Linked DNA regions of Callithrix jacchus. The main gene of each other region encodes a partner of the protein of the gene in region 5 in a complex. Links are inferred from orthologs where the notes say so. Each region holds a gene or a part of one and is shown on either strand. Other genes may lie near its edges. The genes, in order: PHF10, ACTL6B, PBRM1, ARID2, SMARCD1, DPF1 and DPF3.

The links.
Region 1: SMARCD1 (region 5) and PHF10 share a complex: the UniProt entries of both Homo sapiens proteins name them as parts of the neural progenitors-specific chromatin remodeling complex. The link is inferred for Callithrix jacchus from reciprocal best matches to the Homo sapiens genes SMARCD1 and PHF10.
Region 2: SMARCD1 (region 5) and ACTL6B share a complex: the UniProt entries of both Homo sapiens proteins name them as parts of the BAF complex. The link is inferred for Callithrix jacchus from reciprocal best matches to the Homo sapiens genes SMARCD1 and ACTL6B.
Region 3: SMARCD1 (region 5) and PBRM1 share a complex: the UniProt entries of both Homo sapiens proteins name them as parts of the SWI/SNF-B (PBAF) chromatin remodeling complex. The link is inferred for Callithrix jacchus from reciprocal best matches to the Homo sapiens genes SMARCD1 and PBRM1.
Region 4: SMARCD1 (region 5) and ARID2 share a complex: the UniProt entries of both Homo sapiens proteins name them as parts of the SWI/SNF-B (PBAF) chromatin remodeling complex. The link is inferred for Callithrix jacchus from reciprocal best matches to the Homo sapiens genes SMARCD1 and ARID2.
Region 6: SMARCD1 (region 5) and DPF1 share a complex: the UniProt entries of both Homo sapiens proteins name them as parts of the neuron-specific chromatin remodeling complex. The link is inferred for Callithrix jacchus from reciprocal best matches to the Homo sapiens genes SMARCD1 and DPF1.
Region 7: SMARCD1 (region 5) and DPF3 share a complex: the UniProt entries of both Homo sapiens proteins name them as parts of the BAF complex. The link is inferred for Callithrix jacchus from reciprocal best matches to the Homo sapiens genes SMARCD1 and DPF3.

What each region holds. Positions count from the first base shown.
Region 1 is NC_133505.1:176,375,011-176,378,918, reverse strand, and holds part of PHF10 (PHD finger protein 10), read left to right. Parts: intron 1-431; coding exon 432-538; intron 539-2,618; coding exon 2,619-2,749; intron 2,750-2,902; coding exon of another isoform or gene 2,903-3,024; intron 3,025-3,655; coding exon 3,656-3,739; intron 3,740-3,908. UniProt on the Homo sapiens protein: Involved in transcription activity regulation by chromatin remodeling. Belongs to the neural progenitors-specific chromatin remodeling complex (npBAF complex) and is required for the proliferation of neural progenitors.
Region 2 is NC_133503.1:13,075,906-13,079,813, reverse strand, and holds part of ACTL6B (actin-like protein 6B), read right to left. Parts: intron 3,004-3,908; coding exon 2,906-3,003; intron 1,997-2,905; coding exon 1,902-1,996; intron 1,835-1,901; coding exon 1,728-1,834; intron 409-1,727; coding exon 319-408; intron 173-318; coding exon 111-172; intron 1-110. UniProt on the Homo sapiens protein: Involved in transcriptional activation and repression of select genes by chromatin remodeling (alteration of DNA-nucleosome topology).
Region 3 is NC_133516.1:35,114,904-35,118,811, forward strand, and holds part of PBRM1 (protein polybromo-1), read right to left. Parts: intron 2,660-3,908; coding exon 2,474-2,659; intron 1,251-2,473; coding exon 1,093-1,250; intron 432-1,092; coding exon 168-431; intron 1-167. UniProt on the Homo sapiens protein: Involved in transcriptional activation and repression of select genes by chromatin remodeling (alteration of DNA-nucleosome topology). Required for the stability of the SWI/SNF chromatin remodeling complex SWI/SNF-B (PBAF).
Region 4 is NC_133510.1:29,645,082-29,649,754, forward strand, and holds the start of ARID2 (AT-rich interactive domain-containing protein 2), read right to left. Parts: upstream 2,944-4,673; 5' UTR 2,816-2,943; coding exon 2,724-2,815; intron 2,609-2,723; coding exon 2,515-2,608; intron 2,347-2,514; exon of another isoform or gene 1,544-2,346; intron 1,447-1,543; coding exon 1,349-1,446; intron 1-1,348. UniProt on the Homo sapiens protein: Involved in transcriptional activation and repression of select genes by chromatin remodeling (alteration of DNA-nucleosome topology). Required for the stability of the SWI/SNF chromatin remodeling complex SWI/SNF-B (PBAF).
Region 5 is NC_133510.1:69,497,749-69,501,985, forward strand, and holds the start of SMARCD1 (SWI/SNF-related matrix-associated actin-dependent regulator of chromatin subfamily D member 1), read right to left. Parts: upstream 2,801-4,237; 5' UTR 2,773-2,800; coding exon 2,596-2,772; intron 2,350-2,595; exon of another isoform or gene 2,293-2,349; intron 2,001-2,292; coding exon 1,813-2,000; intron 1,542-1,812; coding exon 1,499-1,541; intron 1,408-1,498; coding exon 1,285-1,407; intron 801-1,284; coding exon 678-800; intron 1-677. UniProt on the Homo sapiens protein: Involved in transcriptional activation and repression of select genes by chromatin remodeling (alteration of DNA-nucleosome topology).
Region 6 is NC_133523.1:33,814,766-33,819,228, forward strand, and holds the start of DPF1 (zinc finger protein neuro-d4), read right to left. Parts: upstream 3,137-4,463; 5' UTR 3,032-3,136; coding exon 3,000-3,031; intron 1-2,999. UniProt on the Homo sapiens protein: May have an important role in developing neurons by participating in regulation of cell survival, possibly as a neurospecific transcription factor. Belongs to the neuron-specific chromatin remodeling complex (nBAF complex).
Region 7 is NC_133509.1:107,528,909-107,532,816, forward strand, and holds part of DPF3 (zinc finger protein DPF3), read right to left. Parts: intron 1,450-3,908; coding exon 1,368-1,449; intron 843-1,367; coding exon 772-842; 3' UTR 1-771. UniProt on the Homo sapiens protein: Belongs to the neuron-specific chromatin remodeling complex (nBAF complex).

The DNA.
Region 1 (3,908 bases), on a different chromosome or scaffold from region 5:
TGTCCTCTTTTCACAGGGGCATAAATGCCTAAAGTAGTCAAAATTGTCCTATAAACTGGCGCCTAGTTGAATTGAGAGCTGTAAATGGTCCATACGTTTCCCCCCCCAGCTTGGGTAGGAGAGTTTGCTTTAATCTTAGAGTGATGCAGTAGTTTTATATGTTTACGAAGAGCAGAAAGCATTTTAACCTCAGTTGGTGAGAAAGCAAAAGCAGATTTACATTTACAGGTTAATTGAAAATGTTCTTATTTTGATTGAAGATCAGTTTTAAATTGTATTCCAGGTCTTGCTCATGCCAAACTTTTGGTCCCTTTTAATTGTAATATGAAGTTAATACTTGTATGACTTGTCCTTAGTCTTTCAGTTATTGAGACTTAATTGTTCTTTTATTCTTTCTCTAATTATTATTTTTGAATCTTTTAAATGTGTAGGATGACAATGAAGAGAATTCAAATGATGGGACCCAGCCATCCAAAAGGAGGCGAATGGGCTCAGGAGATAGTTCTAGGAGTTGTGAAACCTCAAGTCAAGATCTCGGGTACTGTCATTTTACTGGTTATTAATATTTTTTGTGATGTTTCTCTTTGCGGTAACATCCTCTTCCCTTTCCCCCAGCTCTGGCAAAGACAATTATTAAAAATTGTAGCATATTTTCTTACTGTTTTATTATGGGCCACCAAAATTGGTCTTGGTACTGAATGTAATTAAAAAACAATTTTTTGATAGTAAAACGCATAATACATAAAATTAATCGTTTTAACAGTTTTTAAGTGTGCAATTCATTGGCATCAGTTATGTTTGCGTTCTTGTGCAGCCATTACCACCATCCATTTCCAAAATTTTTTCACTACCTTATCTGTACTTTATAAGCATTAAGCAATAACTTCCCTTTTTCCCTCTACCCAGCCCCTTGCGACCATCATTCTACTTTCTATTTCCATAAATATGACTACTTAGTTACTTCTTATAAGTGGAACCATAAAATATTTGTCCTTTTTGTGGCTGACTTATTTCTCTTAGAACTTTGAATATCTTCAGAGTTCATCCTTGTAGCATATGTCAGAATTTTGTTCTGTTTTTAAGACTGAATCATATTCCATTTTATGTATATACTGCACTTTGTTTATCCATTTGGATGTTGATGGCATTTGGGTTTCCATCTTCTGGCTAAGGTGAATAATGCTACATACAGTGAGCATTGGTCAGAGTTTGTGTTTTCAGTTTTTTTGGGGATGTGTATGTAGGAGTGGAGTGGCTGGATTACATGGTAATCCTATGTTTAACTTTTTGAGAAACTGCCAAACTGTTTTCCATAGGTGTTGTATCAGTTTACATTCCTACCAGCAATACACAAAGTTTCCAGTTTCTTCATGTTTCTCACCAATTTGTTTTTCATTTTTTAAAATAATAGCTATTCTAAAAGGTGTGGAGGGATATTTTATTGTGATTTTGATTTGCATTTCCATAATGCCTAGTATGTTGAACATCTTTTCGTCTGCTTCTTGACCATTGTATTTCTTCTTTGGAGACATGTCTATTCAAGTTCCTTGTACATTTTTCATTTGGGTTTTTTGTTGTTGTTGTTGTTCAGTGTTTTTTATATATGAATACTTCATCAAAAATATGATTTACACATATTTTCTTTATGGGTTGTCTTTCACTCTCTTGATAGTGTCCCTGTACAAAATTTTTAATTTTGATGAAGCCCAAATTTTTCATCTGTTTTTTCTTTTGTTGCTTGTGCTTTTGGTGTCATGTAAGAATCCATTGCCAAATCCAAGTTTGTGAAGATTTCTATGTTTTCTTCCAAGAGTTTTCTAGTTAGCTCTCATATTTAGGTTGTTGATCCATTTTGAGTTGTGATATGAGGTAAAGGTCCAATTTTATACTTTTGCATGTGGATACCCAGTTTCCCAGCACCATTTTTGAGAACACTGTTCTTTTCAAAGGTTATTTTTTAAACGGATAGATGTATAACATATTGTCACTTTCCCGTGTCTAATTTAGAGGTTGAATTGGCCCAGATCTTGAAATCTGTACTCTGTTATTCAGGATAGAAATCGACTGCAACATCTTGGCACCTTTAAACTAGGTCTATCCTTCGCTTCTGGGTTTGTGGAGTATCTAAGAACAAATAATTATGGTTTATGGCATGATGCATTGAGATACAGGTTTTTAAGAGTTCTGATTTCTTAGCTATTTATGACTCACTGAACAGTAGACAAGAGACAGAAGTAGTTGATTGTTCCTTGGGTGGATGAAATACTGGCTATGCATTTTTAACCTAAGAGAAAGAATTCAGAGCTGATACCATCACCTTGCTTTGCCCTCATAGGTCCTTTAAACTAAAAATGCCTTCGTTCTTAGCAATTGAGATTCTTGGTTCTTCCCGATATATAAAAGAATGTTATCTTCATTGTACCTTTTTGACTTGGTAGACCAGATAATTATTTCTCTTCCTTGTAGCTGTTTTGTAATTTTCTTTGATATACAGGAAGTCAAGTCATAGCACACAAATAATTTAAATACTTAAAATAGTTTTCAAAATATCCTCAATAAAAGTGATTAAAAGTTAATGAAAGCCAAATTTAATGCATAATATATATTTCTGTACTTAGCTTTAGTTACTATCCAGCAGAAAATTTGATAGAGTACAAATGGCCACCTGATGAAACAGGAGAATACTATATGCTTCAAGAACAAGTCAGTGAATATTTGGGTGTGACCTCCTTTAAAAGGAAATATCCAGGTACTAGTTTATATAATTAAAGCTAATTTATAATTAATAGTAATTCTTTATGATACACTGTCAGCTTCTGAATTTTTCTATAGGTTATAATATATTTTATATTCTTGTGCTTTTGTTTTTATTTTTTCTTTCTTTCTTTTTTTTTTTTTAAAGACTAAGGGTCTCATTCTGTCGCCCAGATTGGAATGCAATGGTGCAATCATATCCCACTGCAGCCTTGTACTCCTGGGCTAGCTGTCCCCATGCCTCAGCCGTCCAAGAATCTGGGACTACAGGTGTGCACCACCATGCCTGGCAAATTTTTAAAATTTTTATTTTGTTAGAGATGAAGTCTTGCTATGTTGCCCAGTGTGATCTCAAACTCGTGGCTTCAAGCTATCCTCCTGCCTCAGCCTCCTGAATTGCTAGGATTACAGGTGTGAGCCACCATGCTTGGCTGTTTTAAATTTATTATCATTCAGCATCTCTCTTCATTATTGATATATTCTATGTCTCATAAACTGATTTAAAAGCAAAATGGGAAAGGTGAATTTCCTGGGGAAAATTTTAGAAAAAAATCATTTTATAGACAAGTTTTGGATTTTTACCATTGTCCCTTGATCTAAGGAATAGAATTAGCTATATGAACCATATCTGAATTTGAGAAAGGCTATTCCTTATTAACTAGTCTAGTTATTTATGTTACCTTATTGCTTTGGATTATTCTATTTTCGATTTTATTCTAACTTTTGTATCTTACTGAGTTTTATTTCTTGAATTTTATTTCTTGAGTTTATAGTATTTTTCTGTAGTCCCTTTAACATTTGGAGTATGTAATATGAATACTTTTAAAAATCAAGTTTTTTAAGCTTTTAAAACTTTTACAAATGCATAATGTTTTGCTGTTTTTGATTTTTTTTTTTGGAGATTTAGAGCGACGAGATTTGTCTCACAAGGAGAAACTCTACCTGAGAGAGCTAAATGTCATTACTGAAACTCAGTGCACTCTAGGTAAGAATAGCTTGTAATGTGCATTTTTCAAGCTGAACATTTACAAGATGATATTGCATTAAGTATCTTCTTTCCTAAAATATTTTACAAAGTTAATAAAATAAACTGAACTATTTAAATCTACATTGTTTAATTCATTTTTGATTATTGTTAAAATGCAAAGGAGAAT
Region 2 (3,908 bases), on a different chromosome or scaffold from region 5:
TTGGGGTACTCAAGAAGGATCAGTGGGTGGCCAGCACCAGAGCCCTCAGCCCACTCCCAGAGTCCTGGTTCTGCCCTCTCTCCCACCCCCCAGCCCCGAGCCACACTCACTGTTCATCGTAGGGGGAGTCTGAGACCTGGAGCACAGAGGCCTGGAAGTCCTGGATCACCTCCTAAAATTCCAGTGGGGGTGGTGAGGGCCTCGCTTCCTCCTGAGCGACACCTCCCCCACCCACTCCTCCTCACATGCAGGGCCTCTGCCCGCCCCCCATTCATGGCAGGGGAGGGTGGTTTCAGGGGGCCCTTTCCAGAGGCTCACGTTACACATGTAGTTATGCCAGGACTTGGAGACCTGGGGTAGCTTCTCCTTCTTCTTCCAGTTTGGGGGGGCGCCCTCCCGGACAGGCTCCTGTGGAGGCACAGCATAGGAACACCCTTTCCCAGCCCACCCTGGACACCCTCCCCTACCTTCCTGGCACTGTTCCTGGCTCTGTAGCTAACTGGAACCAGAGGCTGTGCTGTGCTGCCCGCGAGAGGGGTTTCTCACCCTTCCCTGATGGAGAGGAGAGAACGGGGTATGCCTCTCTCCCTGTGTGCCCTTCACATGGTGGGTGCAGCTGATCTGAAGACCACGGGGAATACAGCAGAGACAGAACCTCAAGAGAATGGCCTCCTAGGGGGCCACGCTCCGTGTGAGGGCCCAGGACAGAGCTGAGCACGCAGTGTCACTTCATACTCACAGCACCCTGGCTACTGCCTACTGCCATTCCACTTTACAGAAGACGAAACTGAGGCCCGGAGAGCTTTAATATCATGCTGTTGCTCACACGCTCTTTTTTTTTCAAATGTGGTCTCACTCTGTCACCCAGGCTGGAGTGCAGTGGCACAATCTCGGCTCACTGCAACCTCTGCCTCCTGGGTTCAGGCGATTCTCCAGTCTCAGCCTCCCAAGTAGCTGGGACTACAGGCATGCACCACCATGCTTGGCTAGTTTTTGTGTTTTTAGTAGAGACATGATTTCACCATGTTGCCCAGGCTGATCTCAAAGTGAGCTCAAAGTGATCTGCCTGCTTCAGCCTCCTAAAGTGCTGGGATTACAGGCACGAGCCACCTGCCTACTACTGGTCGGTCCCACAGCTCTCGGATGGCAGAGGCAGAACTTGAACCTGGGTCTATATTGGACGGCAGAACCATCACACTGGCCCTTACACATCCCACTGTCTGCCAGCTGGTTCCATGACCTCAGTGTATCCCTCAGCCTGGCTGGATTTTGGATGCCTTGATTATAAAAGGAGAAACTGGGGCCGGGCACAGTGGCTCATGCCTGTAATACCAGGACTTTGGGAGGCCAAGGTGGGCAGATCACAAGGTCAGGAATTCAAGACCAGCCTGGCCAATATGGTGAAACCCCATCCCTACTAAAAATATAAAAATTAGCCAGGCACCTGGTGGCATGCACCTGTAATCACAGCTACTCAGGAGGCTGAGGCAGAAGAATCACTTGAACCTGGGAGGTGGAAGTTGCAGTGAACCAAGATCACACCACTGCACTCCAGCTTGGGTGACAGAGTGAGACTCTGTCTCAAAAAAAAAGAGGAGGAACTGAAGCCGGGATCTACTGGGGAGTCTGCTGCTCTCTGCTCTGATATCTCATGTGTCAGTGGGTTGAAGGCCATGGGGCGAGTGGCCAGGGCTCTAGTGGCAGCTCCATATCCCCAGAGACCCCACCTTGGCTGCGATCATGTAAGGTGGGATGATGTCGATGGCCATCTCCTGGAACAGCTCCCGGCACTGCATGGAGATGAAGTCCCCTGCCAGAGGGGACTTGACGATGCCTGGAAAGGGAGGCACTGTCAGGACCTGGTCCTCCTGGGGTGTCCCCGCCCCCTGCTGAGGCCCCACCTTGCTGCAGGACGTAGCCATCGTGTACTGGAATGGCCGTGGTGTGGGTGGCCCCGCTATCCAGCACGAGGCCCGTGGAGCGCCCATTTGCAAAGCTGGCATTGGATGGGTAAGTCAAAGAGACAACAGCGGCAAGTGAGGGGCCTGGGACTCCCTCTGCTCTGGCCACTCTCTGCCCTGCCATCTCCAGTCTGTAAATCTCTCCTCCTGGTGAGGACCCGTGTCCTGAAGAAAGGCTCTAAGACCCCAGTTACTTCTTTACTAATACACATTTTTTGAAACGGAGTCTCGTGCTGTCACCCAGGCTGAAGTGCAATCACGTGATCTCAGCTCCCTGCAACCTCCACCTCTGGGTTCAAGGGATCCTCCTGCCTCAGCCTCCCAAGTACTTGGGACTACAGGCACGTACCACCATGCCAGGCTAATTTTTGTATTTTTAGTAGAGTTGGGGTTTTGCCATGTTGGCCAGACTAGTCTCGAACTCCTGACTTCAAGTGATCTGCCCACCTTGGCCTCCCAAAGTGTTGGGATTACAGGTGTGAGCCACTGTGCTTGGCCAGCCACAGTGCCCAGCCCCTGTATTTTTGGTTGTGTCTTACAGACTCTGTGAAATTAGGGGTCGCTATCACTGCATTGCACAGCACAGGGTTCAGTGTAAGGCAGATCCTTTAAAAAGCCAGTGTTTAAAGGGGTTCTTGGGAAGGGACTGCCACAGCGTTCTACATATCTCCCTCCTCTGTCCAGCTCCAGCCCCTGGCCCAGCTCACTGTCTGCTCACCCTGATCCTGGGAATGGAAAGGGGCAGCTGATCTGGCCACCCCAGGGTCAGAGGTGCTCAGCCCACTGGGCCTTCTACATTAGTGGGTCAGAGGGAGGCGTCTGCCCATTCGGATACTGATCTTCAGAGAACCAGGCCCGGGCCTCCCAGCTGAGCTCAGCTGTGCTCACCACAGGCCCCACCCGGGGCCCTCCACCCAGTCAGAGCAGCTCAGCCCAGAGGATACGCGGTGAGCACGGCCGTCTTGCATAAGAAGAAAGCAGGGATGTTGTACTGCTCAAACATCAGCTCTGTCAGCTTCTCCCGCTTGGCCCGTGTGTTCCACTGTGGAGAAAGTGCAGGAGGGGAGGATTCGGGGAGAGGCACAGACCCACACACATGCAACACAAACACACATACACTCACGGTTGCACACACATGCAACTTAAGCACTCACACATACACTCACGGTCACACACACATGTATTCAAACACTCGCACACATACACACATGCTCAAACACACACATATGCTCGTACAGATACACACATAAATACACGCACTCATACATTCACACTATGCATATATTCAGTCACACACACATGCATTCAAACACACTTTGACACACAAATACACCCGCATACATACACACACAAACTCACACTTGCACATACACATATATTCACACTCATAATCACACACACATGCATTCAAAACACTTGCGCAGGCCAAGCACCATTGCTCGTGCCTGTAATCCCAGCACATTGCGAAGCCGAAGTGGGAGGATTGCTTGAGCCTAGGAGTTTGAAACTAGCCCAGGCAGCATAGTGAGATGCTATCTCATTAAAAAAGAATTTTTTTTAAGTAAAGAGCTTGTGGGAATTAAAACTACATGAACAGAACTGAAAAACTCAGTAGAAGGATTGGAACATAAAGTGGAGGGAATATCTTGGAAATGATATTTCCAAGTGTGAGACTCTATCTCAAAGGAAAAAAAATGTGAATACAGGTTTGTTTGGTTTTTTTTCCAGTTCTAGGAAAACAAAAAGTTGCACAAGAAAGGAAAAGTAATAATCGTGTGTCTCCTGTGTCTGGCCTGATTGGTGTACATAGTAATAAGAGTGTAAATATTGGGCTGGGCACAGTGACTCATGCCTGTACTTCCAGCAATTTGTAAATTGAGGTAGAAGGATTGCTTAAGCACAGGAGTTTGAAGCCAGCCTGGGCAATATAACGAGATCCCATCTTTA
Region 3 (3,908 bases), on a different chromosome or scaffold from region 5:
GGCTAAGATTTTGTGTTGTTACTCTTTCTAATTCTGAGTTTGAATACTTTATTGATTTATTTTCTGGAATAGATATTTTGAGATGTAAAATTTTTTTCTGTGTGGCTGTTTTCTGTATACCTTTTCCAATTTTAGTAAATGTGCTGCCAAAGTGAGCACCTGCATACCTTTTCCAAGTTAAAATTGTCTTCTGCTCGACTGTCCTCTGAGTTGTCTGTATTCTTCTCATCATCACCTTTATCTGCATTTGCAAATACAGAGGCCACACGAACCACAGGCAGAGGCACATCCCGAGGGACAAACCTAACTGAGCTGATGGGCATGGTCCACAGTTTAATTTTCTTAAAAGATTTGGTTTTGGCAGAATACCGTGATTCACAGACAAAAACATCTTCATCTCGGAAGTTTTCTGGGCATAATTTAAAGTATTCCTGGGGGGTAGGGGAGACATAAGAATAAAACTAGTTAGGTGGATTTTCTGAAAACCAATCAGAGAAAAAAAAAGAAAAAAGCAAATAACCAACCACACAAACAAAAGCTAAACTGATCAGACTTTCTGGCAGTTAACAAAAAAAAAATAACAGATGACTAGAGATTTAGAAGTATTTCCTTGGCTACAGAATGGACTTATTAGATACAAATTCTTTAAATTATAAAAACAAATAATTCCATTTAGCTTACAATTGCTTTTTGAAAACGTATGAACATCTCATATAGCTATAATGTTCCTTAAAGTTTTTAAGAGGGATCATGTGTTTGTATCAGACATATACACAAAAAGCACACATTATTAGCTACAAACCAAACTGAAAATTTGTCATGATTATCTTTCAAAAAACATCATACTTAAAAATTAGCCTGGCAATATTAAAAACTTAACCTAATTGCATTATAGCCAAATAGTGTAAGCAGCAAGTCATCTTTCATAACCATGTTCAGGTTAATTTCTTCCCAAATCTTTACATATAGCTATACACAGCTTAAAAAATAGTTTAAAACAGAATTCCTAATTTTGTAAATATCAGTATTTTCTGTTTTAAAATTTTATTCCTAGGGAATGAGTGATACTTTTGGGTTTAATGAGTTTCTTACCTTGACAAACATGACCACACACTTGCCTAGAATTTTACTAACGGGAACTTTGTTGTAATAGTCACTCTTGAAAACTTCTTTTTCCAGAAATTTTCGTGTAGCCAGGTGGAATGTTTCATTTGGTCGGTAAAACCAACAGCCATACAACCATTTTTCACCTCAAAAATGGGGAGTGAAGGAGTGGGAAGAGAAAGAGAATCATTGTTAACAGAAATCATTTTTTTTTTTTTTTAAAGAGACAGGGTCTCACTATGTTGCCCAAGCTGAACTTGAATTCCTGGGCCAAAGTGGTCCTCCAACCTCAGCCTCCTGAGTAGCTGGGACTACAAGTATATATCACTGTGCCAGCTCAGAAATCACATATTCTTTGCAAAATTAGGAAATACACCATCAATCCATTCTGCCATGATCTGAATCTAGCACTGTGCTTCTTATGCTACAGTTTCTTATCCATAGAAGAAATAATACTCTAAAATAATAAAGTGTAATGAGACCTAAAAAATGCATGCTACTTTCCTCCTCTCTCTTATATATATTATGCATCCTTAACCTCTTGGGCTCAGGTGATCTTCCTGCCTCAGCCTCTCAAGTTGCTGGGACCACAAGCAAATGCCACCATGCCCTGCTAGTTTTCTTAATTTTTGTAGAGAAGGGGTCTTGCCATATTGCCTAGGTTCTTCTTCATAGTAAAAGTCACATAAAATATATAATGAGGAGGCCAAGTGATGAGACCTGCTCCACTCAGCTCTGGTTAGTACATACCTAGAGTTGTGCACTTTAGTAAGGATATAGATATACTACTGAAGGACATATTTAGCTCTCTGGTGAAGGAATACGAAACTATTTCATGTAATAGGCAGCTCAAAGAACTGGACTGCCTGGATCACATTTCCACCAGCTTTTGGCTTCATTAACTTCTATTTATACTCCAGTTTTCAATTTACAGACAACTGTTCTGGAAAGCCTTTTTGAAAACAAATTCTAAGCCAAGGCACATCATCCTATAATAATTTCTTTTTTATTCATAATCTTCCTTACTGGAGTAGTTTTGCAGGGGAAAAAACATGAGCTTTTTGTTCTTCTGAATCTCTGTCATTCTACCTAAAGTTTGGCTCAAAATATGTTTTCAGTAAGTATCAATTGAATGAATGAATCTCAACCAGACTTTAAGAAGCTGTATTTCTTTGACTCAATAGTGACACTTGCCCAATAGGTCCTATGTTTTTCATATGATGGGTGCTTACTTACATTTATTGATATATTGAACAATTACTATGGAAAGGCATAAAATGTCTGAGTTAAAATTTTCTTCCCTGAGGAGCAAGGAGGAGTCAAATACTCATATCTTACTAAATTGTCCTTTGATTTAAAACAACCTTACCAGCTGAATCCTCCCAGAGTCTTTCAATACAGACTATATGTGGCTGTAGGTTGGCCTCTGCAGGTTCCACATAGACATAATCTCCAACATGGTACATGCTGTTCTTAAAGCTACAGTCCTGGCTGTATGTGCGATGTAAGCCTGAGAGGCCTGCAGCACCAGAGGAATCTTCACTCTTTTCAGCTTCTTAGGTAAATAAATAAGTAAATAAGTAAGTAAGTAAGTAAGTAAGTAAATAAATAAATAAATAAATAAATAAATGAAAAAGGTACTCCATAAAGGGATGCTGGAGTCAGATGTAGGATTCAAACAACACATGCTAATAATACATTTAATTCCATTTGCAACATTCAAGGCAGCAATCAGCAATAGTATGATCTTCACATTCCAGATAGCCCCTACCCAAAATTGTATTTTTGAATTACAGCCACCATTAATTCAACTGAATATATAAGTATAAAAAGGATGCACAGAATAAAAACATCACCTTACTAATATATGATCATGTGGTCATTTTGGAAAACATTAAAGGCACAAGGAAGTATGTATGTCATTTGAAGTCAAGAAATTCTAGAGATAATCTCGATATACTTCATCTCCACTTTAATGCTTCTGAATGTGTTTCATTTCACTAAGTTATTATATGAATGACACATTTAATGTAGTCTTAGAATTGAAGAAATATAGAATACACATATTCTACAATATACTATAAACTACATGTATTTAATATATCATGAACACTTGCCCTGAGAGAAAATGCTTTTCAAAGTATCTTTTATTTTTGCTAAGTAAAACTTATTAATAGTTCCAGTACAAGCTATCATTTGCAAATATCATAGGGTTTTTATTGAGGATAAAGCTTTGCCCAAATCTTTGATTACTTCCTTAGATTAACTTCCCATAAATGGAAGAGCTAAGAATAAGCATTTTAAATGTTATTTATTTATTCTTCCTGAAACAACATTAAATGCCTTTTTTCTTTTTGTAGATGAAGTCTAACTCTGTCACCCAGCCTGGAGTGCAGTGGTGCCATCTCAGCTCATTGCAACCTCCCATGTTCAAGGGATTCTCCTGGCTCAGCCTCCCAAGTATAACCGCGACTACAGGCCCACGCCACTAGGCCTAGCTCATTTTTTATATTTAGAAGAGACAGGGACATGGCCAGGCTGGTCTTGAACTCCTGATCTCAAGTGATCTGCCCGCCTCAGCCTCCTAAAGCACTGGGATTACAGGAGTGAGCCACTGGGCCTGGCTATCTAAATTTTAAAATAGTTTTTCTAGTATTGTAAAGAATGTTACTGGTAATTTGATAGGATTAGCACTGAACCTGTAAATTGCTTTGGGCAGGATGGCCATTTTAAGGATATTGATTCTTTATATCCAAGAACATGGAATGTTTTTTCATTTGTTTTTGTCATTTCTGATTTCTTTG
Region 4 (4,673 bases), about 40 Mb from region 5:
TTGAATATGTATTAATATGTTCCTCTCAATATCATAAATGGAAATGAGCAAATGAATGTCACCATGAATATAAAACTCTCCGTTTCTCATCCCACTACTAACTCAACAGTTCTGGAGGTTGATTTTGTTTTCTGATTCAGCGCTTTATTTTAAAATGTGCTCTGACACAAATGCCATCACACGCAATAGATGACAACGAACCATATTTAATATTTTCTAGACTTCCTGTGTAACTCAATAACTACACAATAACTACTCCACAAAGTTCTGTGAACTCCAGCTTCAAGCCTGAAGTCAATCTAAGATAGCCAATAGAAAGTACACCTGTGCAATTATTGCATTTCCTGTTTCAGAATGTTGAATGTAACACATGATAACTGAATGCATCTGAAACAGTAATAAATGCAAAACTCAAATTATGCAGAAGCCACATTACAAAAGGCCTCTATTATCACTATAAAAAGCAATAAATACAAAAAATATCATTTTAGTTTTAAATAATACCAACTAACTTAGAATCCTCTAAAGTAAACATTAAAAATAATGCACAGCCTCATGATAAATTATATGAAAGGATTCCTAGAAGAAAAACTAGAAGCAAAAAAATAACGCTAAATCACAAAATATATCATCTAAACTGTATCGCATACCAACAGAATAAGAACTTTGTCAAATAAGCAGTCAAAAAAAAGAAAGAGGGAGAATGAAAGAAAATCCAAAGTATAGTATCCCACTTCATAGCATCCCCATTTTCCTAGAGATATAATAATCATTTTGAACGTTTTTAAGTCACTGGAAATTCAACAAAAAGTAATTCTCAAAACAATCCTGGTCACCTAAGGCACCAACATGTTATGCCATGCATTCATATTCTACTGAAAAACCTATTCAATGTCACTGTTCCAAACAAGAAGTTTCATTTAAAAAATAAAATCTGAAAGTCAGAATTTTTTAAACCAAAGAAGTTTCCAAAACAAAGAAAAAAAAATTTTCCCAAAGATTACAGTTTCATTAACTATCTTAACTCTTTTACTAAGCATCACCTTTCTTCCATTCAGTGGATATCAAGCGATCAATAACAATGTCACAAAAGAATGTTTACCAAGATGGGGGGTGGGGTGTCACCTGTAATGATTTTGTATGAAAAACGTAAACGATCCTAAAATTGGTAAGAAAAACTTGCACCTTCCTACAATCTCACTTTATTTATATTAAATGTGTCTTAGTCTAAAATGAACAAGAGCTTAGAACTGTTTGGTGTGCAAGGTTTGCTTTTGTTTTTGCCAAAAACAAATCTCTCCATAAGTCCCTTATTTCCAAATACTATGGAAAAGTCACTACTACTCACCGCAAGTAATACTGTTTTAAAGCAAAGGCAGCGTTAGAACAACTTCTGGGAAAGTTGAACTCTTCAACAATTTCTCCCCACTGATTCTTCTCAGAGACCTGGTAAAACACAGGCACACTTGTCTGAAAGTGAACAATCTAAAAAAACCTTTACCTAACTGAAATAAATACCCATTCTACAGAGATCTGTAGATACCTAAGGCATCAATGGTTGTTTCTGATCGATCGGTAAGGTAAGAGTTACTAAGCAAGCAAGGGCGTCTTGAATCACTGTTTTCACCAGACAGCCCTGTATTTAATACCACTTGTTTTGTTTGGGGGGGATTGGTGGGTTTGTTTTGTTTTTGAAGCCGGGACAATAACCAATCGCAAGTCCCTCTGTCGCCCCCTTTTAAATCTCAACGCGGTCCGTTTACACTTAAAAAAAAAAAAAAAAAAAGTTCAAAAGGATCAATACAGTTCCGGACAGCGACGTCCGCGGGTTCTGGGGGGGCCGGGGCCGGGGCCGATTCCGATCCCTCTCCCAGATCTATCCATCTCCATAGGCCCTTCTTTGAGGCCTACAGCTTCTGCCTAGCCTTGAAGCCTAAGATGGCTATTTGGAGACAGGTCCTGGTTTCTTTTGTTAGCTGTATAAACCGAGGGCGACGGGGCCGAGGCTGTGCCCCCGGCTGCCAGGATCATTTCGCAGCCGATTATCGATGTTAAACCTGCCCGCGCTAATTTTGAGTTGCACGAAAACTGCTCTGAGTCTGTGTGTCTCTGTGTCTCAGCCTGTGCTAGAGCGGCAGCGGCGGCAGAGCTGACGAGCGAGCGAGCGAACAAGCGAGCGGGCGGTGCGGGCGCGGGGCTCCGGCTGGCGCCCCGCACGCCCGCACTCTCCGCCGCGGCGCTCAGACCCCGCCGGCCCAACTGGGCACCGGGCAGGGCGCTAGCCGGCGCCGGGCCGCCAGCCCGCGGGAGCCCCGCGCCCGCCGCGCGCACGCGAGCCACCAGGCCAAAAACAGCCCCGCCGCCGTCCGCCTCCGTGCCACCGGCTGGGAGCGAAAAGAACGCCTTTTGCCCCCGCGGGCCACCCCCCCAGCCCCAAGCGCCCACTCTGGGGTCAAAGGAGACTTTTTGGAGGAGGCCAGTGAGAGGGAAATACAAATTAAAACTTCCACTCACCTTCGCGAATCCGCCTAAAGTAGTGACTCTGGTGTAGAGACCGTGAAGATCCAGCTCCTTCCCACCCACCGCAGGGATTTTTTTAAAAGGCGACCTGCGGGAGAGAGAAAGACCCGCACTTGTCAGCCGGGACCCCGCGCCCGGCCCGGGCGGGAGAGCCCCGTTCGCCCCGGCTCGCCCCGGCGTTGCCCCCCCGGTTCTGCTCTCACCCTCTGCTGTGGTGGAACTGCCGCAGCTCGTCCAGGAAAGCGAGTCCCTTTCTCCGCTCGTCCGGAGGCGCCTTCCCCGTCGAGTTTGCCATTATTTTTTCAAAGGAGGTTTTTTAAAAACCCAGATCGGTGTTTTAAAAGCGCCCCCCGCTCCCAGCGCTTCCTACCAGAGCCCGGAGCCCATTCCTCGGCCGGCGGCGGCGGGGCTCAGTCACGGGCCGGCGGTGGCGGCGGCGGCGGCGGCGGCGGCGGCGGCGGCGGCGGCGCAGGGAGGGAGGGCGGGAGGGGGAGGAGGAGGAGGAGGAGGGGAAGGAGGGAGCAGGAGGCCAGGGGGAGAGGAGGGAACGAGGGAGGGGAATTTCTAAAAAAGTTTAAAGAAATCGGAGCGAAACTAGAGGGGCAGGCGACTGCCGGATCCGCGCGAAGCCGCGGGGCGAGCGCGGCCCCCACCCCTTCCTTCCCTCCCTCCCTCCCCGCGGCCCGGCTCTCGCCCGCCTCTCAGCGCCGCCGGCTGAGGTGGCTTGGCCCGGGTACGCGATTCAACATGGTGCTGCTGCCGGGGGCGCGCGAGCGGGCGAGGGGCAAGGCGAGCCAACGGTGAGGGGTCGGGGCGGCCGGAGGCCCTAGAGTTTCGGCGGCGGCGGCGACAGCGGCCGGCCTGGGGCAGGCGGGGCTGGGGGTGGGGAGGGGGAGGTCTGTGTGGTTTGTAGAAAGCGGGGTGACAGCGTGTATTTCGGCCCAGGCTCCGCGGAGCCCTCGCACACATTCACGCGCGGCCTCGGCCGCTGAGGCCGGGGCGTCCCCGGGCAGAAGCACCGGCGGCAGCTGAGCCGCTGCGCGCCGCCCGCCGCCCGCCTGCTTCCCTCCTCGTCAGCCTCGGTCTCTGCCGCCGCCAGCGCCGCCGCCACGGCCGGGCAGCTAGTGCCGCACAGCGACCCCCAAAGGCCGGCCGCGGCACTGCGCCTGGCTCCACACCGCCCCGGCAGCTCCTCGCGGGGAACAATAGACTCGGCTCGCCGAGCTTAGGGTTCGTCTGCAATGTGCCGCACATTTCACACGCACACAAAGCCGGCGGAAAGGGGGGCGGCGCGGGGGAACGGCCACTACCGGTTGTTCCAGGGTTAGGGGTGGAGGCGATGTTCGCGTCCCTGGCCCGGCTGTCGGAAGGGCCGCCTCGGAGTCCCCGCCCGCCCAACAAAAGTGGTGTGGCGCTCTGGAGGGAAAGGAGGCTTACCGGGGCAGCTCACGCTACGCAACATTCACAAATCGGAATAAAGTCAATTTGTTACCTTCTCTTTTTGTAAAGTCTAAAGAAATTGGTTTTTATGAGCCTTATGCTAGTATTTTGGGGCCTGGTTAGCACATTTTCTATGAATTATCCACACGCTATCTTTAGCAAACTATACGTTAAATATAATGTGAACTGTCTGTCCTAGTTCTGTGGAAAAAGAGTAATGCTTATAATTCATCTTGCCTCTGGTTGGCTTCACATATCAAACTGGATTATTCTATTACCAAAGTTATGCAAACTAAACTGGTTAGCAAGCAATCTCCAACTTCGACAATAATTAACGTTTACATTTTTATAGTAAGGTCTCCTAAAGATTACTGCGTTTAAAATAAATATCGAATAAAATGTTTTTCCTTGCTTTCAAATGTCTTAAATGTAATCCTCGTTTAAAATATTTGTGAAGGTTAAAAAAAACCTTTGGCTTAAATGGGAAAGTCAAAACATCTCAACAAATACTATCACCTAAATTTGCATTTACGGGGGGTGTTGGAGTCGGCTCTTACGCTGCAAATGTTAATTAAGATTAGAGTAAGTGAAGCCAATTATTATTTCCATCTTAGTGACGGCCACTAAGAACAAAGTCACTGCCTAACCCAAGGTCATAGGGTAGGAAGGGTCTGGATAGATTATTATTTCAGGTAGTCATTACAATGGGAACA
Region 5 (4,237 bases):
TATTTGGACAGAATGACACCACCAGCAGATGGACCAGACCTATATACAGAAGGAGGCTCTGACACTGAGCCCTGGTTCTCCTGCAAAAGTGCATTCCAATTAGCTTGCCTGTGAGCAGCTAAAAATAGAGCCAGAGAATGTAAGGGAATGACAGAAAGGTGAGCTTCCCCAAGGAGCTTCTGGGGTGGGAAGTTTGGGGGCTATCACCTGTCAGCTGATGCTCCCCAGGAAGCAACAAAGAGCCTGTCAGAGAAATCTATCCCACTTAAACTGCAGGGTGTCTCCAATGAAAGCTGGGAAGATGGAGATACCACAAGGACTCAGAGAGGAAACATGGCCTCAAATTGAGTGCAAACTCACTTGATTAAAAATAAAAAACAAAAAAAACCTAAATAATCTACAAAGATGGCTAAATCCAACAGCCAGCAGCACCAAGAGGAATGTAAACAACAAGTCAGATCCCAGGACAATAAGGTTCTCCAAATGATACCAGTGAGGGCCAAAGGTGTGGGGGCAAAACACAAAGGACTATTGTCTTTTGTGCAGGGAACAGAGCATCCCTCTGCCTACTGCTCCCAAAAGGAGCTGTGAGCACCAGTTAGGCTTCCTGCTGACAACACTGTTCATTCCCAGCAGCTCCCACCCTAGATGCCAACCGTGATGGACCTTGAACTCACATCCTCCAGGAGCCGTCCTTCTACCCGAAGCTCCCAGGAAGCCACCGTCCCTTCCCCATCCTCGGCATCTGACTTAGCCGGATTGAAAGTGTTAGAAATGAAAATTCGCAGCTTCCGTTTTTGCTGAGGAAGGCAGAAACAGGATTGATCGTGGGGCTTCAGTGGTCTGATGTTGAAGACAAGGGTCTCCCCAAACCCCAAAATTACTCCTAACAGACTGCCTTACTATCTACCCAGTCCCTTGGATGGATGGATAAAGATTCCATTTAGAAGAGGAGTACTGGCCATCAGCCTAAGCACAACTGTATTAAGTGGGATGCCAGGTGGACAAAGTCATGCTAGGTGCCAGGTTCCCAAGGTAGCAGAGCAGTTATAGCAAAAACATGGACAAGGGTATATTTCTAGTGCAAGAGACATCAAGAGCCCCTCCCCCTTTGCCATTCTGTTCTTATCCTCCTAATGTAATTCTCAGTTTGTAGGCGGAAGGGAGAGATGCAATTTAAATGCCAAGGAGAGTTGTGCTGTGCCTTTGATTTCTCATGCTAAGTCTGCTGGAGGTTCCTGGGTCCTCTCCTTTGGCTCTCTGCCTAGTGCCTTCCGGTGTTACCTTGATAGGACGTTTCAAGGCCTCTTGGATATCTAGCCGTTTCCTCATGATAGTCTGGTCCAGTTTCCTTTCAAAAGCCAAGAGATCCATGTAGGCCTGGGATTCTGGTACCAGTTCACGAATCTTAGGAACAGAAAAATTAATGAGATCTAGGATGATCATCTCTATACTCAAACTCACCACACTTTCCAGAAGACCTATAGCCTGGACTCACCCTTTGAGGTAGAATTTTGTCAGCCATCTTCTTTTTCTTTGCACTGTTGGGAATATATACCATTATCAGGTTGAGACAGAACTAGTCAGAATGTGAAAATAAGCTGTCAGCATGTCCATTTATAGTAATGCGAAGGGACTGCAAAGCTTTTCTCAAATCAAAGAACCACCACCACCACCACCAAGCATTCTCGAGAATCAGTCCTGTAGGGCCATCTGCTGACAAAGCACCACCGCTTCTTGGTTCAGGTACTCCCACCACCCGTGTCCTCCCAGGCCTCCTCCCTCCCTCCCTCTGCCCTAGGATCATCTTACTTGTGGTTTCGATTTTGGACCGCCTGCTGCTGGACCTGCTGGATCTGCTGAGGGGCAGGTCTCTTGCGGGACTGGTCCATCCCTGACTGGGCCAGGCCAGGTCGGACTGAAGGGTTCCCCCCATAGCCAGGAGGTCCCATGGAAGGTCCCTGAGGTGTCATTCGGCTGCCTGGCAGCATACCTGGTCTCTACAGAGGGGAAAGGACCCAGAGAAGTCACTGTTTTACCTGCTAAACCCCACCAAGAAAAAAAGAAGGGGATGCCTGAATTATTTGAATGAAGTAAGGTTTAGGGATGGAATGGAGGACAATGAGAGGAGAACCCTTTGCTCCAGTAGTGACTCCATAGAAAAACAGGATCCAAAAGCTAAGAGAGAGTCCGATTATATTGAAATTCTCCTCAGTCTATTTTGGATGGGGCACATCGGACATCTCGAATTCCACATTTACTCTGCTAGCTACTATCTCTTTAGAAGCTGACCTCAATTTGCCAGCTACATCTGTGTTCCTCTGATCACTGGATGGAGCTGCTCAAGCCCCTTTGCACTCCGGCCCTCGTAAAGGTATCCCGGACCCACTCCACCCACCCTGGTTCTCCACCGACTCCCCAGGGAAACAATGCCCCTAGGAGCAGGTGGGGACGCTAACTGCCTCCTTCAACCCCCACTCAGAGCCCGAACCCCTCCCAAGGGAGTCCCTCCTACTTCTCCCCCGACCCCTGTCACTCCCAGGTACCGCTCGGCCCCGCCCCCGGCCCGCGCGCCCCTCCTCCTGCCCCACTCACCGGATAGGCCGCTCCAGGCATCGGGGAGCGGTACAGCCCTTGACCCGGAGCCGGGCCCATTCGCACTGGAGGCCCCGGAGTTCCGCCCGGGCCCAAGGCAGCAGCCGCGCCCGCCCCTCCTGAGGCTCCGGCGCCGCCGCTGGGAGCCACAGACTGGAAACCCGCCCGGGCCGCCATCTTCCCGGAGCCGCCGATGCAGCTGCACAAAGAACCGGAACCGGAACTCCCCCCGCCCCCCGCGCGCCCCCCGAGCTCCCGCCTGTTCCCCCGGCCGGCCGGCCGGCACGGGAGGCTCAGGGCAGCGAGACTGTGGGCTAGAGGGGGCGACTAGCGGAAAAGGCGTGCTGGCCACGCCCTCCCGCCTTCACGGTCCGGGAGGGAAAACCATAGAGAAGAGCTCTGGGATAGAAAAGCCCCGTGAGCGGGCGCCCCCAAGCCGACGGGAGGAAGACAAGGACATGGAAAGGGGGACCACAGCCTCAGCCCGTCTCAACCCTGCCCTGACTCTAGCCCTCTGATGAAGAGGGGCTTGGAGTAATAGCTATTTTGACGCATGGCATTAACTTTCCAAAACGCTTTGATTGCTTTCGTTTCATTTTCTTACTGCTATAACTGTCAGGGGCTGAGGAGGGAAACGCACAGTTTATTCCATTTTACAAATGGGAAAGCTGAATTCACAGAAGGTGAATGACTTGGCAAAGGTCAACCAGCAAGTTAGCGGTAAAGCCTAAGCCAAGATTCCAGATCTCCTTGCTCATAGCCGGGGACTCATTCCACAGATAAACTGCCTCAATAACTACCTCATGTGGGAACTTCAACCTAACTTTGTCTCTGGCCTAACCTGCTTCCAGATTATTTTATTATTTTTAGATGATGTCTCTGTTGCCCGAGCTGGAGTGCAGTAGTGCGATCTCAGCTCACTGCAGCCTCCGCCTCACGGGCTCAAGTGATCCTCCCACCTCAGCCTCCGGAGTAGCTAGCTGGGACCACCATGCCAGGCTGTTTTGTATTTTGGTAGAGATGGGGTTTCTCCATGTTGTCCAGGTTGGTCTCGAACTCCTATGCTCAAATGATCCACTTGCCTCAGCCTCTCCAGATCCTGGGATTACAGGTGTGAGTTATTGTGCTTGGTCTCAGATTGTTTTTTTGAATATCAAAAAATAGTTTCCCTATGTTTTGCAGGCTGGTCTCGAACTCCTGACCTCAAGTGATCTCCCACCTCATCCTCCCAAAGGGCAGGGATTACAGGTATGAACCAGTGTGCCAGCCTGCTTCCAGATTTTATAATAAATTCCAGTTTATCTTGAATTTTGACCCTGCTCTCTCGCTAAAGCATCCTTTGTGGTGCTGGGGATTGTTTTGGACCTTTCTTGCCTTTGACTCCTCCCTCTTTCCCTGCCCAGTGATTCAAACCTATCCTGGGTATGACGGTCAGCCTGTCCCATTCCAGAAGGACCACGCTCTCCCTACTCAAACTTTCTCCTTACTCATCCCCTAATTGGCCCCAAACCAAGCTCAGCTCTAGGCACTTAGTGAGAATACCTAAATACTTTTCAAATAAGAGAACAACACTGAAGAGGAGATGGTTGAAACCCAGTTTATTAGACCAGAGGCATGCGTCACCCGGAGCCCTGCCTGCTGT
Region 6 (4,463 bases), on a different chromosome or scaffold from region 5:
GGCCTCCAGGCCCTGATCGTGGCCACCCCACGCCTCACCCACGGTGAGCCATGACCCCACCTTCCTCTCTCACCTCCCATCCGCTCTCGGGTCCCCTAACACACCCTCTTACACTTGATTCCCACACTTCTAGCCTCAGACACGCAGACTCACCCCTGCCCAACCCCAGACTCTCATGTCGATTTAAGAGAAGCCTGAGTGTAGACACTGAGTGTAGCCCTCCTCTACCAGCAGAATTTCCAGTTTCCTTTCTCTCCCTCCCTTTCTTTCCTCTTTCTCTCTCTCTCTCTCACTCTCTCTCTCTCTTTTTTTTTTTTTTTTGGACAGAGTCTTACTTGATGGCCCAGGCTAGAGGGCTGTGGCACTAACAGCTCACTGAGGCATCCACCTCCTGGGCTCAAGTGGTCCTCCCGTCTCAAACCCCCAAGTAGCTGGGACTACAGGCAGGTGCCACCACACCCGGCTAATTTTTGTATTTTTGTAAAAACAGGCGTGAGCCACCGTCCCTGGCCCACCAGCAGCGTTTCTACCCATAGACCCAGGCTGACACTTGGAGCGGGCTCTCCTTTCTTTCCTTTCTGCCTAATCACCTGCACACACCCCTCCCACACTCCTGCACACTTCCTCCGAGTCCTCTCCCTGGCCCAAACAATCCTCCTGCTCCCATCCCCCAGTGCCCTGTGTGGAGCTGACCCACAGTAGAAATCAATTTCATAAATCAATATTGATACTACTCCTACTAATCACTACATTTGGTCAGGGTCAGAGCTCTGTGCTAAGCGCTTTACAAAGACGGCCTTATTTAAGCCCCGAGACAGCCGTATGGGGTGGTAAGGGCTGTTAGAAGACCCCATACTCCAGGTGCGTGGCTCACGCCTGTAATCCCAAAACTTTAGTAAGCTGAGGCGACAGATCATGAGGTCAAGAGATCAAGACCGTCCTGACCAACATGGTGAAACCCCGTCTCTACTAAATATACAAAAATTAGCTGGCGCCTGTAGTCCCAGCTACTGGGAAGGCTGAGGTAGGAGAATCGCTTGAATCCAGGAGGTGGAGGATGCGGTGAGCCAAGATCACACCACTGCACTCCAGTCTGGGCAACAAGAGTGAAACTCAGTCTCAAAAAAACAAACAAAAAAAAAGCCCCATACACAGATGGCAAAACTGAGGCTCGCGGCAGGGGACGTTCATGGCTCAAGCTGGTTTTAGAACTCAGGCAGTGGAACTTCCCAGGGCGGCACCCTCCAGCTCCTTCTCCCCAAGGGATGTGATTCACATTCTTTCAGGAGTCAGGGAGTTCCCCACCTTCACCCCAGCAGATACGTTTTGGAAGGGGAGGGCACAGGGGGCAGGGCCCTCTCAGTCCAGGCTTTCTCCCCAGGTCCCTGCTCTCCAATGCAGCACACCTCCTGGGGGGGGGGGGGGAGTGTCTGGGCCAGGGTCAGAGTGCGGGGTAGATCCACCAACCTGCACAGGAGCTCTCGCTCCCGGCACCCTGCTCACAACCATTGTGCAGTGTCCCTCACATGAGAGACAACTGTGTGTGCCACTCAGGGTGAGAGGGCAGCGGAGGGGTGTCAGCATCATGCACCACCTCTCACGGACCCGAGTCCCACACACTCGCTCCCGGCACCCTGCTAACGGCGGAGCCACACGTGTAGGCGCGTGCCTCTAAGTCCCTGCCCCCCTTCCTCTCCCAACTCCCACCCTCCACCTCCCACCCCCATTCCCGCCAGAAACCAGAAGCAACTGGCGGCCTCTGGTCCAGCCGGCAGGCGCAGCCCTTCTTGTGGGTGGGGTGGGGGGTGCGCTCCCTCTCTCCCTGTCCCCACTCGCCCCGCCCCCAGCCCTCGATGTTCAAGGTCAAGGCAGCCAGCGAGCGGGGTTGGGGGAAGGGTGGGGAGGTCGCCCCGGCCCCTTTGTGCGGCGCCGCCGCGGGCGCTCGCCCTCCGCCTCCTCCACCAGGCCCAGGAGGAGGGGGAGGGGAGCGCTGCGCTCGCCTGCGGGGAGGGAGGGCGGGAGCAGCCAAGCGCCTGTCACTGGGAGACCGCTGTCACCGCCTAGGAACTAGGGGTGGGGGTGGGGAGCTCTGGGACCCAGGAGTCCGGGATCCCGAAGAGGAAGCAAGCCCGAGATGGAGAGGGGGAAGGGGAGGGGTGGAGAGCGCGAGGGATGGCAGGGAGAGGGGAGGGTCAGGAGGGTCTAGGCTCGGACCCAGGCGTCCCGGTCCCCAGCCACCGGGCCCGGGAGGAATGCGAACGCTCGGAGGGCCGCGGCCAGGAAGAAAGGGAGGGAATCCCCGGAGACCGAGGGCGCTCCCGGCAGGCACCCCCTTCCCGGGCCGGTCCCGGAGGGGACCAGAGATGCTCCGGTTTGATGTGTATGGGCGGGGAGAGGAAGGGATGCCGCGGTCCATGCTGGCCGTGGGTTCGGGGTTCTAGTTCCCGGAGATCCCAGAAGGAAAAAAGGGAGGCAGCGGGGATGGAACCGTGGACCCCCGACGTCTCAGCTCCCACCCTGCGGCCGCGAGGTCCGGGGTCCCCAGAGAAAGAAGGGGAAAGAGAGAAAGGCGCTTTGATGAGGGGAGAGCGGGTGATGGAAACCCTGGGGACCGAGGTCCGGACTCAGGTGTTCGAGCTTCCAGCCCCGGCCGGGGCAGGCCCGGCACCTCCGGAGATCCTGAGGGAGAGATGGAGGAGAGGGAAACCCCTACCCCCACTCTGGGTGGGGAAACGGCCTCCGCCACCCCCAGCCCGCGCCACATTCCTTCACTGACAGCGACAAAGAAGAGGCGCCCCCGCGACCCTGAAGAGGCTCCCGCCTCCAACCCCAGGGGGCGACAGGGGGTGGCCGACCCCCGGGGCAACGGTTTGCGCTGGGGGCCCCCACTCAACTACGGGTCCGCGCGCTGCGTCCCCCTCCTCAGCCACAGGGCGGGCGGGGGAAGGGCTCCTGGTGGGGGGGTCTGGACAGGGGGCGGGGACGGCGGGGACACTCACGACTTGAGCGGGTTCTGAATGGCGGTAGCCATGGCCCGCTCGGCTGGGCCGCCTCCGGCCCGGGGCGCCGCTGCCGCCGCGCGCGGGCCCAGCCCGGCCTGCGCCGCCCGCTCTGCCGCCCAGCGCGCTACGATTTCATTCATTCTTGGGGCTGCGGCGCGAGCGGAGCGGGGCGGGCCGGGGGCGGGGCTCAGCCAATCCCCGCGCCTCCCAGCGCACGACGGGACGTGGAGTCTAGGGGCGCTCGGCGGCGCCCGAGGGCGCCCCTGCCCAGACTACACGTCCCAGGGGGCGTCAGGAGGACCGCGCTCCCATTGGCTGCTGGGGATACAGGGAGGGGCGGGGCTGCCCCCAGAGCATCTTTCCTCTCTCCCTGGGAGTGCTCCGTCCCCAGCTCGGGATCTCCACCCTCGAGGCACCGCGAGCGCGGGAGCAGGTGGTCCCTAGCTTCTGGATGTCCCCAGGGTATGTGGATGACCCTAGGGTTTTTATCGTGTATTTTTGTCTGGGCCTATTTGGGTTTCTCTTCTATATCAGCGAGCCTGTGAACAAGCACAGGGGTTAATCACGCCTTTGTTCGTTTACTGAGTGGCTGCTATGTTCCAGAAACTCTTCTAGGCACTAAGGATACAGCAATGACCAAAACAAAGTTGCTGCTCTCAAGGAGCTGACGTTCTAGTGGAGAAATACAGATAATAAGAAAATAAAGAGATAAAATCATTTCAGACAGTGAGAGATGCTATGAAAAGAAAATTGGGCCGGGCATGGTGGCCCATGCCTGTAATCCCATCACTTTGGGAGGCCGAGGCAGGTGGATCATCTGAACTCTGGAGCTCAAGACCAGTCTGGGCAACATGGCGAAACCTCATCTCTACCAAAAATACCAAAAATTAGGCGGGTGTGGTGGTGCATGCCTGTAGTCCCAGATACTCAGGAGGCTGAGGTGGGAGGGTCACTTGAGCCTGGGAGGCAGAGGTTGCAGTGAGCCAAGATTGTGCCACCGCACTTCAGTCTGGATGACAGAGTGAGACCTTGTCTCAAAAAAGAAGGGAGAGGGAGAGAGAGAGGAAAAAAAAACAAGAGAAGAGAAGAGGCAGGGCACAGTGGCTCACACCTGTAATCTCAGCACTTTGGGAGGCTAAGGCAGGAGGATTGCTTGAGCCCCAGAGCACGAGACCAGCCTGGGCAACATAATGAGACCCCATCTCTACAAAAAGTTTAAAAATTATCTAGGTGTGGTGATGCATGTCTGCAGTCTCAGCTACTCAGGAGACTGAGGCAAAAAGGTCATTTGAGCCTGAAAGTTGGAGGCAGTAGTGAGCTGTGATCACACCACTGTACTCCACCTAGACAACAGAGAGAGACTGTTTCTAAAAATAAAAAAGAAAGAAAGAAAAGAAAAAGAAAGAAGAAAAGAAAATAGATTCAGCAAAACACAGATTTTAGAAAGAAAAAAGAAGCAAG
Region 7 (3,908 bases), on a different chromosome or scaffold from region 5:
AAGGAACCAGCCAGGCCTCTTGCAGAGTCTCTCCCGATGGATAGCAAATACTGACTGGCTATGGCGGGGCCTTGGCACCACTTCCGCCACATTTCCTCCATGTCTCTGGGCCTCTCCCTCCCTCTCCACCCCCATCTAGTAACTTAACACAGTGGATGGAGACCGGGCTGGCTGTGGATGCCACTGATGCATTCTAGAAGGCAACTCTCTGTCTCCAAGACAACTCCAAGGAACAAGGAGGGGTTTCAAGTCTCTGAGTCTAGAAGTTTCCAGCGAGGCTTGCCATAAACGATAACTTCTCCACAGCCCTTTGTTCCGCTGGTGAGTTTCAGGATGAAGAGCCTAAGCTGGGGGGAGGGGGCGGAGGCTGTGCGAAGACTTCTTGGAACACAACAGATAAAAAACACCACACTACACACAAGTGATGGGTGAATCGTCACGAAATGGCTTCCCTTCAACTGGGAAGAAAGGAGAGGGCCTCAGTGCTGGGGTGACAGTGAGAGGGTTCCACGGGTCTGGGTCTGGGGTGTCCTTCCAGAGTGCAGCTTCCTTCCGGTGGAGATGAGGAGGTGCTGGCCGCAGTCCCGCATGTATAGGGGGAGGCTGGGAGACGCCGCACCCTCTTGGTTCCATGTGTCTGTGCCCCTCTGAGACTATTTCTTTTCCTTACAGTCAGTCTGTCTGGACATGTGGGAGGAGGGCGCCTTCTGATTTGAACTGGGCTCTGCTTTAGCCTCTCCAGCAGCAAGTCACATTCTGTGACCTGGGGCCCTAGGCCTGGCAGCCAAAGGCTGAGGCTTTCTCTTTGAGCAGTTCCCAGCATAAGTGGCAGCTCCAGCTTCCTGCAAGAAATGAGATGGCTTTAGTAGCAGCCCCTCTCCTGACTCTGGGGCCCCACCCCAGTGGTCCTAACTTCTTGTAAACCCTGTTTTCTTTGGACTTTCGTCATGCAGAAACCTAGTTTCAGGCCTGAAAACATGGCAGCGTCTGTGGCTCAGCAGAAAGCAGGTGCTTGGAGGAGATGGGCTCAGCTCTGATCAGGACACTCACTCCCTGGTCATGCTCCAACTAGTGTCACCGGGCCTGCACCAGGTCCCCCAGAAGCTCACTCCCCATCCTCTCCACTGAATGTCCGGGAAAAACCTCCTTGGCCCTCAAGTTGAAATTTCAGCTGCTGGGACTGTGCCTCAGTTTCCTCATCTGTAAAATGGCAGTTGTCATACCTACCTTGTAGGGTTGTGATGATTAAATGAGACAAGACAAGGACATGTAAAGCCTTTAGTACAAGGCCTGTGCCATGGTGAGGGCTCAGTAAGTGCTACGAGTACTATTGTTGCTGGTATTACTGTTGGCCTCATCGTCATTACCTTCTGGGGGCTCAGCCACTGGGGGATTTAAACAGTACATGTGATAGCCACGGTCACAGTCATCGCAGAAGAGTAGCTGGTCCTGGTGGAACACAGAGCAAGCACAGAGGAGCGATTCCATTATTTGAGGCCAATGTCCGGCCCCCACTTACTGATCAGCCTTATTTCCACATCAGCCTTATTTCCACATCAGCCTTACTGGATGCCCCTTTCCAGGCCCCACTTGGAGTCCTCACTGTCCCCTGAACACGCCTGTGCTTTTCCTACACCTGGGGTTTCCCCCTCTGCTTTCCAACCTATATAAATCCTACCCCCATTTTAGGTTTCTGCTCAACTCATACCTCTTCCAAGAAGCCTTCCTTGACTACCACCTCACATCCAAATTTAAAGGGATCACTTATTCTTCTGAATTTCCAAAGCCAATAGCTCTGCTTCCAAAGGGCAGAAAATGTCTCTATCCTCCACGACTATATATTTGAAAATCTTAATTGAATTCTTCTGGACTCCACTCTGGCCATCTGTGAAATGGTCAACGGCTGTACTGGGATAAACCTCAGAACCTCTTCAGTGTTTTATTAGAATGTAGAAACATGCAAGTAGTGCCATCCCTTGGCTTCCAGAAGCTTTCAACTGTCTGGAGGCTGGAGCCCAGGTGAGAGCAGAAACCCCCAGGGTTGTGGGTTAACTTCAAAGGACACAGGCCATATCTTTGCACCTGTGGCTACATCTGCCTGGAGGGTCTCCAGGCCCTGGCCTCTTCTCTGCATGTCCATCCCCTGCCTGCTCTTCAAGTAAGTCTTCTTCAAGCACTTCTCTTCCGTGAAGACCTTGCTAATCTACCTCAACTGGAAATTCTCTCTTTGCTCTTGCAGCCCCATGGTACTTTCCCTTTCTGTGACATTTAATTGCATTTTGCTTTATGTTACATGCCTGGCACGTGGTAGACATCTATACACATTTGTTTTCTTGGCCTCTCACTGTGGCTCACGCCTGTAATCCCAGCACTTAGGGAGGTGGGTCGATTACTTGAGATCAGGAGTTCGAGACCAGCCTGGCCAACATGGTGAAACCCCGTCTCTACTAATATTACAATTGGCCTGGCGTGGTGAAGCACACCTGTAATTCCAGCTACTCAGGAGGCTGAGGCAGGAGAATCTCTTGAACCTGGGAGACAGAGGTTTCAGTGAACCTAGATCACAACACTGCACTCCAGCCTGGGCAACAGAGTGAGACTCTGTCTCAAAAAAAAAAGACATCTACATGTTTGTTTTCTTCAATAGTTCATTTGGAGCATGCCTCTTTTTTCCACCCTTTATTCCCTTTATGGACGATAAGGTCCTCGGGGCAAAACCTTGTTTTCCTCATCACTGCCTCCACTGCAGTGACTTCCTTGCATACAGGAGCTGCTCAGAAACTGTGGTCTGGCCCCACCCTCTGGCTTCAGCCCTGTTGTATTTGGTGATTACTGAACCTGTTTGGATGGCTTATGAGGCTTTTGTAAAATAAAGTTTTGTATCAAATCTCACCTTGGCTCCCACCAGTGCAGAAATCCTGGATAAAATGAGATATAGCAGTTGGAATCCCCAGGGAGCAAGCAATGAGGGCTTTTTTGTCATGCTAAAGCCTGTCAGGGGGGCAACAGGAGAGCTTTTGAAGAGTTATCACAGGGGAGTGATATCATCAGATTGCAGTTCAGCAAGATCTTACTAGCTACTATGTAAGAGTAGATACCCAGCAGGGGAGAGGTTCATTCAAGAGGCCGGGACAACAGTTAGGAAGCTGCTATTGCTATCCAGGTGCATGATGATGGTGGCCTGAATTATGACTGTGGCATGGGAGAAAGAAATGGGTCTTGCTCCCATTTAAATATCATTGATTAGATGGGGAGAGTGACAGGGAAGAAGCCAAGGATGCCCTCTGAGTCGTGGCTTGGTCAGCAAGCTAGATGATGCAGCCACCCATTGGGACATGGGAGGAAAAGCAGACTCATGGGAGGGAGAGGGCAACCTCAGTTATAGACATATCCTACACATAGGGATGACCTGGAGGCCGTTCTCCAATGGAGAGAAGTCTGGGCATGAGATATGGGTTTGGGGGTCATTGTAATTAGATGGCAAATGAAGGTCCTCAGAGAGGAAGCCCAGGGTATGAGAGCAAATGTCTTTGAACTTGTCTTCAGAGAGGAGTGTCCACGAACCCCTTGAAATAATATACACGTTTGTACATAGGTAGAAATATATGTTTTTCTACAAAAAAAAGTAAATCCGTAGTTTTCATTGAATTCTCTGAAAGATCAGAGACCCAAAAGAGTTTCCTGAGACGAAGGCCAAGAATGGGCACTTGGGGTACACCAACTTTACAGGACAGGCAGAGAAAAATACTGAGAAGGAACAGTCAGAAAGGTAGGATGAAGACAAGCACACTGTGGTTTATGCCAAAAAAGTTACGTCATTATTGCAGAGCCAGCATAAGCTATAGGACAATTTGATTTAAGGATAATACAAGGAGAAACAAGTTAGGATGGGGACAGAAAACAGACAG